2 linked regions of the Arabidopsis thaliana genome follow. The protein of the gene in region 1 interacts with the protein of each later gene in a pairwise test. Each region holds a gene or a part of one and is shown on either strand. Other genes may lie near its edges. The genes, in order: AT4G27350 and AT4G35160.

Region 1 (4,983 bases):
TGGTGATGAAGGTCGTCATCGGAATTGGTGGTGCAAGAAAAGTTATTGAAACTTAGATCTTGTTCACATGTACCGAATACTAATATTAGGTTTTAGGATGTTTAACGATGTAAATTCCATATTAATCAAACTAACTGAGAGCTAACCGGCTGGTAAGGCAGAAGCTAAATAAAATTGATCTATAACCACATGATTTCTACACACAATACAGCTCTAATGAAAACATAAGATAAAGTTTTTGACCTCTAGACGTTTTTGTCTATGTAATTTGAGAAAGCAGTGTTTTCTTGTTATTGAAGACATCCATAACGACGAATCATGATTGATATTACAGTGAAAGAACTTGAATACTCTTTAACTTTAACACTACATCAATCGAAAAGGACTTGATTATTTTACAATACTGTCTAAATTAGCTAGAGCATCGGTCCGGGGGGGCCGGTTCACCGACTGATCCCTTAAAAAGCAAAATGGTAAGGCTGCCAACTGAGAAATGGATGAAGCAGCCACTGCAATGAGTCACGAAAGATCCGAAATGCGTCCCCACGATGCACTGCCACCCCGATCCGTAACTTCTATCAAATTCCTGAAAAAATCAAAAAGATTTGAATTTCATTGACATGAAACTCTAGTTATGGAGTTTGTATAACATTCATAATCATATTTCATTTCAGTATACATATGTACAGTGTATAGGTAGAAAATACATGTCTAGTCAGGATTAATACACATTAAAACTTGCAATATATGATTAGTGAACCTTCTTGATGAAACGGGCAATTTGAGTAGGTTCGGTGACATCAAAGCAATCAAGGGCTTTGGAGGCCAAACTAAGAGCATCTTCCTTCATTGTTTGCTTCATATCTGTATCACCCATTACTGCTTTCCCTTCTAACATCCTTTTTAAAAAAATTGAATATGATTATTTAACTCTAAAGAAATATCTAAGAGAACCAAGTTAGTTTATGCAAGTATATATTGTATGTTAATATTTCTATATATACTGAAAAATGATGGGATGATGTGTGTGTGAGAGTGAAGCTCCAAGATAGTGGTGGAGATTATGTTGGAACTTACATGAAGCGTCTTTTTTTTTACTTGTCGTAGTTTTATCAGCCACATGGATTTGCATGGACCGTTCCATATGTGGTCAAAACCAAATCATTCAATCGATTTCAAATATGAAGTACATATACACATCTATATTCATTTATATGATCATAAAGTGGTTGTTTGCCATCATTTTAAGAAAATTACCGTAAGCTTGGGCTGTTGTGCGGCATGTTGTAAAAGGAAAACACAATGTGAGTGGATACGATTGAACAAGCCATAGAAAAAGTGCAAGCAAGATTACAAGAGCAAAAACGAGTGAAGGGAAGAAGAAGGGACAAAAACATATGTGGTTCTCCTTTATTTCAAAATGAATTTCAGCAATGAAAAGAAAATGGACGTCAAATTTTATTTAACCTTCAGAAACTATACTTAGAAAGTTAGATTATTGTTTTATTTTTGAAGTTAAAAGTTTTTTTTAGAACTATAGAACTTTGTGGGTATATTTTGTTTTATTTACAATGTCATGTATGACTAGTTGAAGCTCTTAACATGTATTTTTTTTTACATCTTTACTAAATGTCTCTTAAGCTAATCTTTTCTTTCCATATTAATTCCCACTAGCAAAGTTGTTTTTTCTTTTTAATCTCAAATTTGTTAAACTAACAAATGTATATATATATTCCTTTTTTAATTGTTTTCTTTTTGTCAAAGTGTTTTCTCAATTAAAAAATATACAAAGAAGCAATATAACATTTTTTTTTAATTGTTGAGGTTGGCAAGTAAATCTTTCTTTCTTTTTTGCCAGGACGAGAAAGATTTGTTTTTTTAATTCTCTCTTTAAACGAAAACAAAAATAAACTCGTTGGCCAGCTCAAACAAAACTATTCGCCTGTCTTTCCCGACGTGTCACCGACCCGTATAACAAGGATAATAAAAGCTCCAATTTAATTTTTTATTTCTACAGCTTTTTCCACCAATACGATAATTTTCCATTTTTATAAAAAAAAACTTTATTTGAGAATTTTCCTTATTAAAAAAAGAAGTACAGTATAAAGGTAAAGACACTTTGCCGCGTTTCTCTCGGTGCCGCTCGACGTGTTAATCTTCTTCCTCCTGAAGATCTCTCTCTGAAAGACATTCTCAAATTTTCTCGGGAAAACACCTTTTTCTGATTCGTTTTTCTCCAGATCATTCCTTCTTTCTTATATCCGATTTCTTCGGGAGGAGGCGAAGAGACGGTCAACAATTTTATCCAATGTCGCGCCGTCTTTTCGCCTGTTTCGGCCTCAAGAAATCTTCAACTAAACCTATCTCTGGTGGTAACAATTCCGCCGCCGTAGCCGCAGAAATTCCCGCCGGAGATGGTCCCGTTCTCGTCCAGCTATTCTCGTCTCAGGGATGTAAAACATCGCCCGCGGCGGAGATGTTGATGTCCCGGCTAGGTCGAGGTGATTTCGACGCTCAGATCCGTGGCGAAGATGGTGGATCTGGATCTCCGACGATGGTTTTGGTGTTTCATGTGGATTATTGGGATTACAAGGGGTGGAAAGATCCGTATGGATCGAGCCAATGGACGGTGAGGCAGAAGGCGTATATAGAGGCGTTGAATCTGGATACGATGTTTACTCCGCAGCTTGTGATCCAAGGTCGTTCTCAATTGATCGGAAACGAAGAGGAGACGCTGCTCAAATCTATCTCCGAAGCGCCTAGGTTTCCTTCTCCAGCCTTCCGGGTGAGTTTTCGTAACATTGTAAACTATTCGATTGTTGTGGTGATTGTGATGATCTTGATGTGAAGGAATTAGATTTAATGGTAGATTTCAGCTCTTGTTTATGTGATTTCAATGTAAGTGTCTTGTTTTGTTTGAGTGTCTTCTGGTGCTAAATATATAGGAGAATATTATAGGATTCCAAGTGAAGCTTGTATCTGATTCTTGCGCCTTGCCTGCAGATTCAAGAGCATGTTCTTGTATCTGACTCTGTGTTAGGAAAATGTGTCCTATGGTTTGCAGTGTCGCTTGTCCTTGAGTCTTGTGAATGTTTAATATAGTAAATCAAAGAGTTCTCTTTAGGTACAGGGCTGTATCCAGGTCGCTGATGCTCTTTCTCTGTATCAAAATGATCATTAGACATTTAGGAGTAATATTGCTTTTAGAGGGATTTTGTCTCTGCTAAAAAAGTGGTCAATGTGGTTGCTTTCTAGATAGTTATAGGTATATATGACAGGGAATGTAGTTTTATGAATGCAGCAAGCTTCTATTGCATTAGAATTAGCTACTTTTGGTGAATTGACTAAACAACATCTGTGATAAATTTTTGTTCGACGACATGTTCTTGTTGATTGTGTCATAGGATTAGCTACCTAACTAAACTTTACTTCAACCATGAATTTTCTCTGCTCTTGAACTCAATGAGTTCTTGACTAAACAGAACAATGTGGCTCACTCTTCTTCATTGGCTTTGTCACTCTCCACATAAGTGGTGTTTTTTGTCGAAATTTTCACATGTAATATTAATCATTTGTTTCTCTCTTTACCAGGCGACTTTCCAGAGACCAACCTCAGAGACACTGCAAGTATCACTCACCGGAGCTTTGAGAATGAAAGTAGACGGAGACGGAATGGACATAATGGTGGCAATATACGAAACCGGGCTTGTGAACGACTGTGCAAGAGGAGAGAACGAAGGAAGAATGTTGTCGAATGATTACGTTGTAAGAAAGATGGAAAAGATGTGCACTGTGAAAGATGTAGCACCGAAGAAGCCAGTCTCGGGGACTGCTCATTTTACGCTCTGGGATGGATTCAACAGCAGCAAATGTGGAGTCGCCGTCTTTCTTCAGAACTCTTCTCTTCAGATTTTTGGTACACAGAGTTTTAAATTACCTGATGAGATTTGAGTTAATTTCCCTAATATCTGAAAAATAAAGAAAAGAAAACCGATCTTTGTATCGTCCATATTTTGCTTGTGATAATCATTCGGGTTCCACTCTGCTTTTGTACAGTTATAAATGTGTGACTACTTATAACTTAATAGGGTTTAAGGTTTCTTCTAATTTGTTTTTATTTCAACTCATATTATCCTAACCTTTCTCTTCTCATGCTACTTCATTTGATTTCTTTTTAAGTTAAACCCTTTTTTAGTTAATCAGTATGTCAAAGTTCCATTCCACGAATCTTGGTCCTGATAAATGTTGGGATGCATGAAACAGTCTAGTTGTTTATAAAACCCTAAACCCTTTTTATTGTTTTTTTTGTAAACAGTCTAGTTGGGATGTCAATGTGACATCGTTTTGACGCTTAGTTATTGAAACGACGTCGTTTAAAATTTTAGGATAATTTATTTTTGAAAATAAATCTGAAAGCAGAGTGATATGTTCGTTCTTATTGCCGATGAAATCTCTAATATGCTCCCTGAGTAATACCTTTGATGCACAAACGCGGGAAATGACCTTCATTGTCCCAACACCAAAACCCAAATCCATCAGGAAGCTGAGTGAATCAGAAAATGGTGTCAAAGCTTTCTCTTTTCCGAGCCAATTCACTTCCTTTTCCAGTCATCTCTTCCTACTCTGCTCGTTTTATCCTTAAACCCTATCCCAAACCTAAAACCCTTATCTTCTGTGTCTTCTCCAGTAATCTCTCCTCCACCACCTTTCCGTATGGCCCGTCTCTTCTGAAAGGAAAGAAGCCTGTGCTAGATGATATTAGATTAGCTTCAATTGGTCGAGACAGAGATGCCCATCGAGGCAAAATTGGAGAGTTTGATGAATCAATTGAGAAAGATGTTCTTTTGAATGAAGATGAATTTACTAGGGTTTTTGAGATTTCGGCGATTCGAGTCCCGGCGAAGGATTGTTTCGCGCTCGAGAATCGTCTCCGTGGTCATCTTCTTAATTGGCCTAGGATTCGGAACATTGCTAGGGTTCCTG
Region 2 (4,843 bases), 3.0 Mb from region 1:
GACATAATTAATAATCGAGTATGATCATGGTCCCTGCACAAAATGGCTCAGACAAAATATTGTACTGGTGTTTTTGGAAATATTTCCCACCGAGAATAGATGTCACACCAGAACTTTCAACTTTTGTGTGCGTAACTCTTTGCAAAGTTTTTCGAAAAATCCAACCTTGTTTTTAACATGTTTAAAATAGGACCTCAGATCAAGGTCAAGTGATCAGATGTGTAGGTTATGTGTGTTTATGCCGTCCATGCTCTGATTCAACATTTTTTGTGTTTACATATATCAAAGAGGCCATCCCAATAAGCAACCTCTTTTACTTTTCATGTTTAGAGGAATTTATTGACTACGTATTATTTCATTGATTTGGTCATTTGGAAAATCCTTGAAAGTTTTCGATTTTTATTAAAAAAATGAATATTACAAAGCTAAAAAAATGGAATTAAAATGATATATGTAAATTTTAACTATTATTTAGAAATGCGTTCGAAATAACAATTTTCACCCTCATATTTGAACTTTTGTTTTTCCAACTTGACACATATCTGTTAAAACTCACAAACTGATAAACCTCCTTGAATTTTTTTAATTTTTTTTCTAACTATTGCCTATGTTTTCTGTTTTACTATTGACGTCAACTATAATCTTGTATCTTGTATCTTACTGCCTTTTTTTTGTTATTACCATATAAAATGTGAGAAAAGAGACACTGTAAAAAGTAATAGTACACGAGATTAGCGACACTCACGGAGTGTAATCTTTATTTTAAAAAATCTTTGACGTCCACAGAACACACGAGATTAACGCAATTTCATTACTTCCATTTTTAAAGCTTTCTATTAATATATTGAAAGAAATCCTCTCTTACAAAGCGTCGTGAATGAAATCGCAAGTTTTTTAATTACATTAATGCATGATATATCATATAGTATAATCTAATCATCCTTTCGTAATCAGTGTGACTTCACTTAACTAGCGTACATGCCTATCTATAGTGACAGTAAACACGGTTAAAAAATTTGTTGTCTTATTAACAACCCCACACTAGCTAGTTGTGGATCTGTAATTTTCTGGCTTGGCAAAATTACATTAAACATTATTTTGGCACTACCATTAATATATCGAAGGAAACCAAGACACGCACAGGCTCCATAATCAAAAATTATAAAACTATATACAAATTAATGATGATACTACACCAAAGTATATATTCGAAGCAAGGCTAGCTAATTGAACTGAAAACATAGTCAGTGTAGTTTATCAACTTTCAATAAAAACATCATCCATGATGTACATGTGTACGTGTATACTAGAAGTCATTCTGCATGATGATTTTTTTTAATATACAAATGACACATGTCCGAGACATTTGACAGCTACGTTGATATGTATTCGTTTGGTTGACAGAGCTTGAGAATGCATTTTTTTATAAGGGAAGATTTAAGTCTATATTCGGTAGAATTTAACTCATAGACATTACTCCTAAGTTTTTGTTTTTATTTTTGAAAAAGCATTACTCCTAAGTTTCATGTAATATACAAGACGGAATGATGGATCAAAGTTGGTTGGCCAAAAACACCGAAGCAAGCTTGTCGATGCCTTTTGTCTCGACTAGTATTATTGTTACTAGCTTGAGACTAAATCTGATTGGAGTCCACACAAAATAAATCAATATTATTTATTAATGGATCTGTTTTGGAAATCCAAAGACAAATAATTCATATGTATATATATATATCTATAGTAGTATTCGGCGGTCGACAGTCGTAAACCTTCACAAAAAAATAAAAATAAAAGACAGTAAACTAACAAAATACCAGGTGGTCTGAACTCTATCTTATGAAAAAAAATATTGAATCGAATTCTTAAATGTCATATATATTGATGTCGGAACAATATTTTTTTATTGAAACACTAAATTCATTGAACATGTTGGGTTCAGTCCGGTTCAGAAATTTACTACTGTGTCTTTATAAAACCAAATTACTATTGTGCCCCCATTTTCCGATCGCTATAAAAAAAACCTAATTCCTCAACTCTAATTCACCATGTCTTCAGATCAACTAAGCAAATTCCTTGATAGAAACAAAATGGAAGACAATAAAAGAAAAGTATTAGATGAAGAAGCGAAAGCTTCTCTAGACATATGGAAGTATGTCTTTGGGTTTGCAGATATAGCAGCTGCAAAGTGTGCCATTGATCTTAAAATACCAGAAGCCATTGAAAACCATCCTTCTTCACAGCCCGTAACACTAGCCGAACTCTCCTCCGCCGTCTCCGCCTCTCCCTCGCATCTCCGCCGTATAATGAGGTTTCTTGTACACCAAGGAATCTTTAAAGAAATCCCCACAAAAGATGGTTTAGCTACAGGCTACGTTAATACGCCACTCTCTCGCCGTTTGATGATCACAAGACGTGATGGAAAATCGCTGGCTCCTTTTGTTCTCTTCGAAACAACTCCCGAGATGCTCGCTCCATGGTTGAGACTTAGCTCAGTCGTTTCTTCGCCGGTCAACGGTTCAACTCCACCACCGTTTGATGCAGTGCACGGTAAGGACGTGTGGTCGTTCGCGCAGGATAATCCCTTCCTCAGCGATATGATCAATGAGGCCATGGCTTGTGATGCAAGGCGCGTGGTGCCACGTGTAGCCGGAGCTTGTCACGGCTTGTTTGATGGCGTGACTACGATGGTTGACGTAGGAGGTGGTACGGGAGAGACGATGGGGATGCTTGTGAAGGAGTTTCCTTGGATCAAAGGATTTAACTTTGATCTTCCTCATGTCATTGAAGTTGCTGAAGTCTTGGACGGTGTTGAGAATGTTGAGGGCGATATGTTTGATTCTATTCCGGCTTGCGACGCCATTTTCATCAAGGTTAAATTCATTTCCATACTCTTATTTTCTTTTGATTAATAATAATATTCACTATGATTACTTTTTTTCTTCTTCTTACAACTTCCATTTAGTGTTCAAAACAAATTTTACATAAATGAAAAGATTAAAAAAATATCACTAAAAATCTAGTTTTATTCTTTCTTACAACTTTAATTCGTGTTCAAAATCAAATTTCACATAAAAGACAAGAAAAAAATGAATTAATGTTATAAACTAACTTTTTTTTCTTAATTCTAATTAAGTTGATTTGTTGCCGTAAAAACATTTTTGTTTTTGTCAATAATTGTCGAGCTTAATTACTGTTTCTAAAATCCGACTTTTTAAAAATTTTGTACAGACAAAAGGAATTGAAAATATTTGGATGTTGACTTCAGTATTTATTTTCTACCCTCTTCCATTAAAACATTAAACATGAATAGTTTAGATATGACATATTAAAGTAGCGAGCGAATCAACTGAGAGCAAGTTAACAATCACTATCAAGTATCAAATAAATAAAGCAACCACTACTAATTTCCCCAGATATTATTAACCAATACAGTACACATAAGAGAGATCTTTAATATATTAAAAACAAGGAAAATTGAACAGAATCTCACTTTAAGGATTTGTTTTGCTAATACAAAAAATGTAAAAAATGAATGGCGCAGTGGGTGTTACACGATTGGGGAGACAAAGATTGCATAAAGATATTGAAGAATTGCAAAGAAGCGGTCCCTCCAAATATCGGAAAAGTGTTGATAGTGGAATCGGTGATCGGAGAGAATAAAAAGACGATGATAGTGGACGAACGAGATGAAAAGTTAGAGCACGTGAGATTGATGCTTGATATGGTGATGATGGCTCACACAAGCACAGGCAAAGAACGGACTTTGAAAGAATGGGACTTTGTTCTTAAAGAAGCTGGCTTTGCTCGATATGAGGTTAGGGACATTGATGATGTTCAGAGTCTTATAATCGCGTATCGGTCTTAAGAGGAGGACATGAAAGATATATCTTTCCTTTGAGGAAAACTCAATAAATTAGTGATTGTTGATTTGGTGTTTTTATACAGAACGACGTGTGGGTGAATAATTGTGTTGTGTGATAATAAGTAAGGCTTGTTTCAGTATCAGCAGAGTTGTTTTTTATTTGTATTTTTCACATTTTTTTATCATTAATTTCCTTGTGAGTGGCACCTCTAATTTACTTTTTTAATTGTTATAGGCTATATAAGATAGATAACCTTATACAATGTCAAATCTTACAATTACATTATGAACATGAAAACAAATTAAAAATAAACTTGCTAAGTTTTCAAAATTATGTAAATTTGCTTGTAAAATCTTGATTTAGTGGAAAGGTATAATCATTGATATAAAAAGAAACTATAAATATCAAGAAATATTCTTAAAGTCTTAAATGCTTCAATCATACTTTCAAACATAAACAAGTGGTCCAACGAATAGACCCAAATATTACGTGGTTACGATGAGAGTGGCAGTGGGGTTTATACGATTGGGGAGATAAAGACTTGATAAAAACATGCTAAGCCATGTTTATTTGATCATTTGACATTTACATCCAAATGATCTATTTGAATGATTCATGTGAATGATTCATGTGAATGATGTTTGTTTGATCATTTGGTATTTTATCTAAATAATGTATTTAAATGAATATTTCTTTGCTTGATTATTTTTTAATTTATCTACATTCTCATTCTAATAAAAATGACTAAAAATACCCATGTTATAATTTTAACAAATGACAAATATTTAACATCATTACCAAATATATCATTTTTAATCTTTAATTTTAGTTATATTAATTTAATTATTGCTGTAAAATACATTTACAACGAAATAAATTATTATTTTAACATAAAAAATATGATTTGCGGTTGGTGGAAAATATACTTTGTAGTTTTGGCAGAAAAATATGATTTTACGGGTTTGGCGGGAAAAATATGA

What was found.
Region 2: the proteins of AT4G27350 (region 1) and AT4G35160 interact in a two-hybrid assay, tested with the Arabidopsis thaliana proteins (one large-scale study listed by BioGRID).

The regions. Positions count from the first base shown.
Region 1 is NC_003075.7:13,689,947-13,694,929, reverse strand, and holds AT4G27350 (membrane lipoprotein lipid attachment site-like protein, putative (DUF1223)), read left to right. Parts: upstream 1-2,097; 5' UTR 2,098-2,308; coding exon 2,309-2,785; intron 2,786-3,591; coding exon 3,592-3,951; 3' UTR 3,952-4,285; downstream 4,286-4,983. Other genes in the region: VIIIB (P-loop containing nucleoside triphosphate hydrolases superfamily protein), read left to right, coding at 1-49; AT4G27360 (Dynein light chain type 1 family protein), read right to left, coding at 413-586, 761-898; AT4G27340 (Met-10+ like family protein), read left to right, coding at 4,560-4,983.
Region 2 is NC_003075.7:16,730,011-16,734,853, reverse strand, and holds AT4G35160 (O-methyltransferase family protein), read left to right. Parts: upstream 1-1,930; 5' UTR 1,931-2,045; coding exon 2,046-2,870; intron 2,871-3,541; coding exon 3,542-3,865; 3' UTR 3,866-4,151; downstream 4,152-4,843. UniProt on the Arabidopsis thaliana protein: Methyltransferase which catalyzes the transfer of a methyl group onto N-acetylserotonin, producing melatonin (N-acetyl-5-methoxytryptamine). Does not seem to possess caffeate O-methyltransferase activity.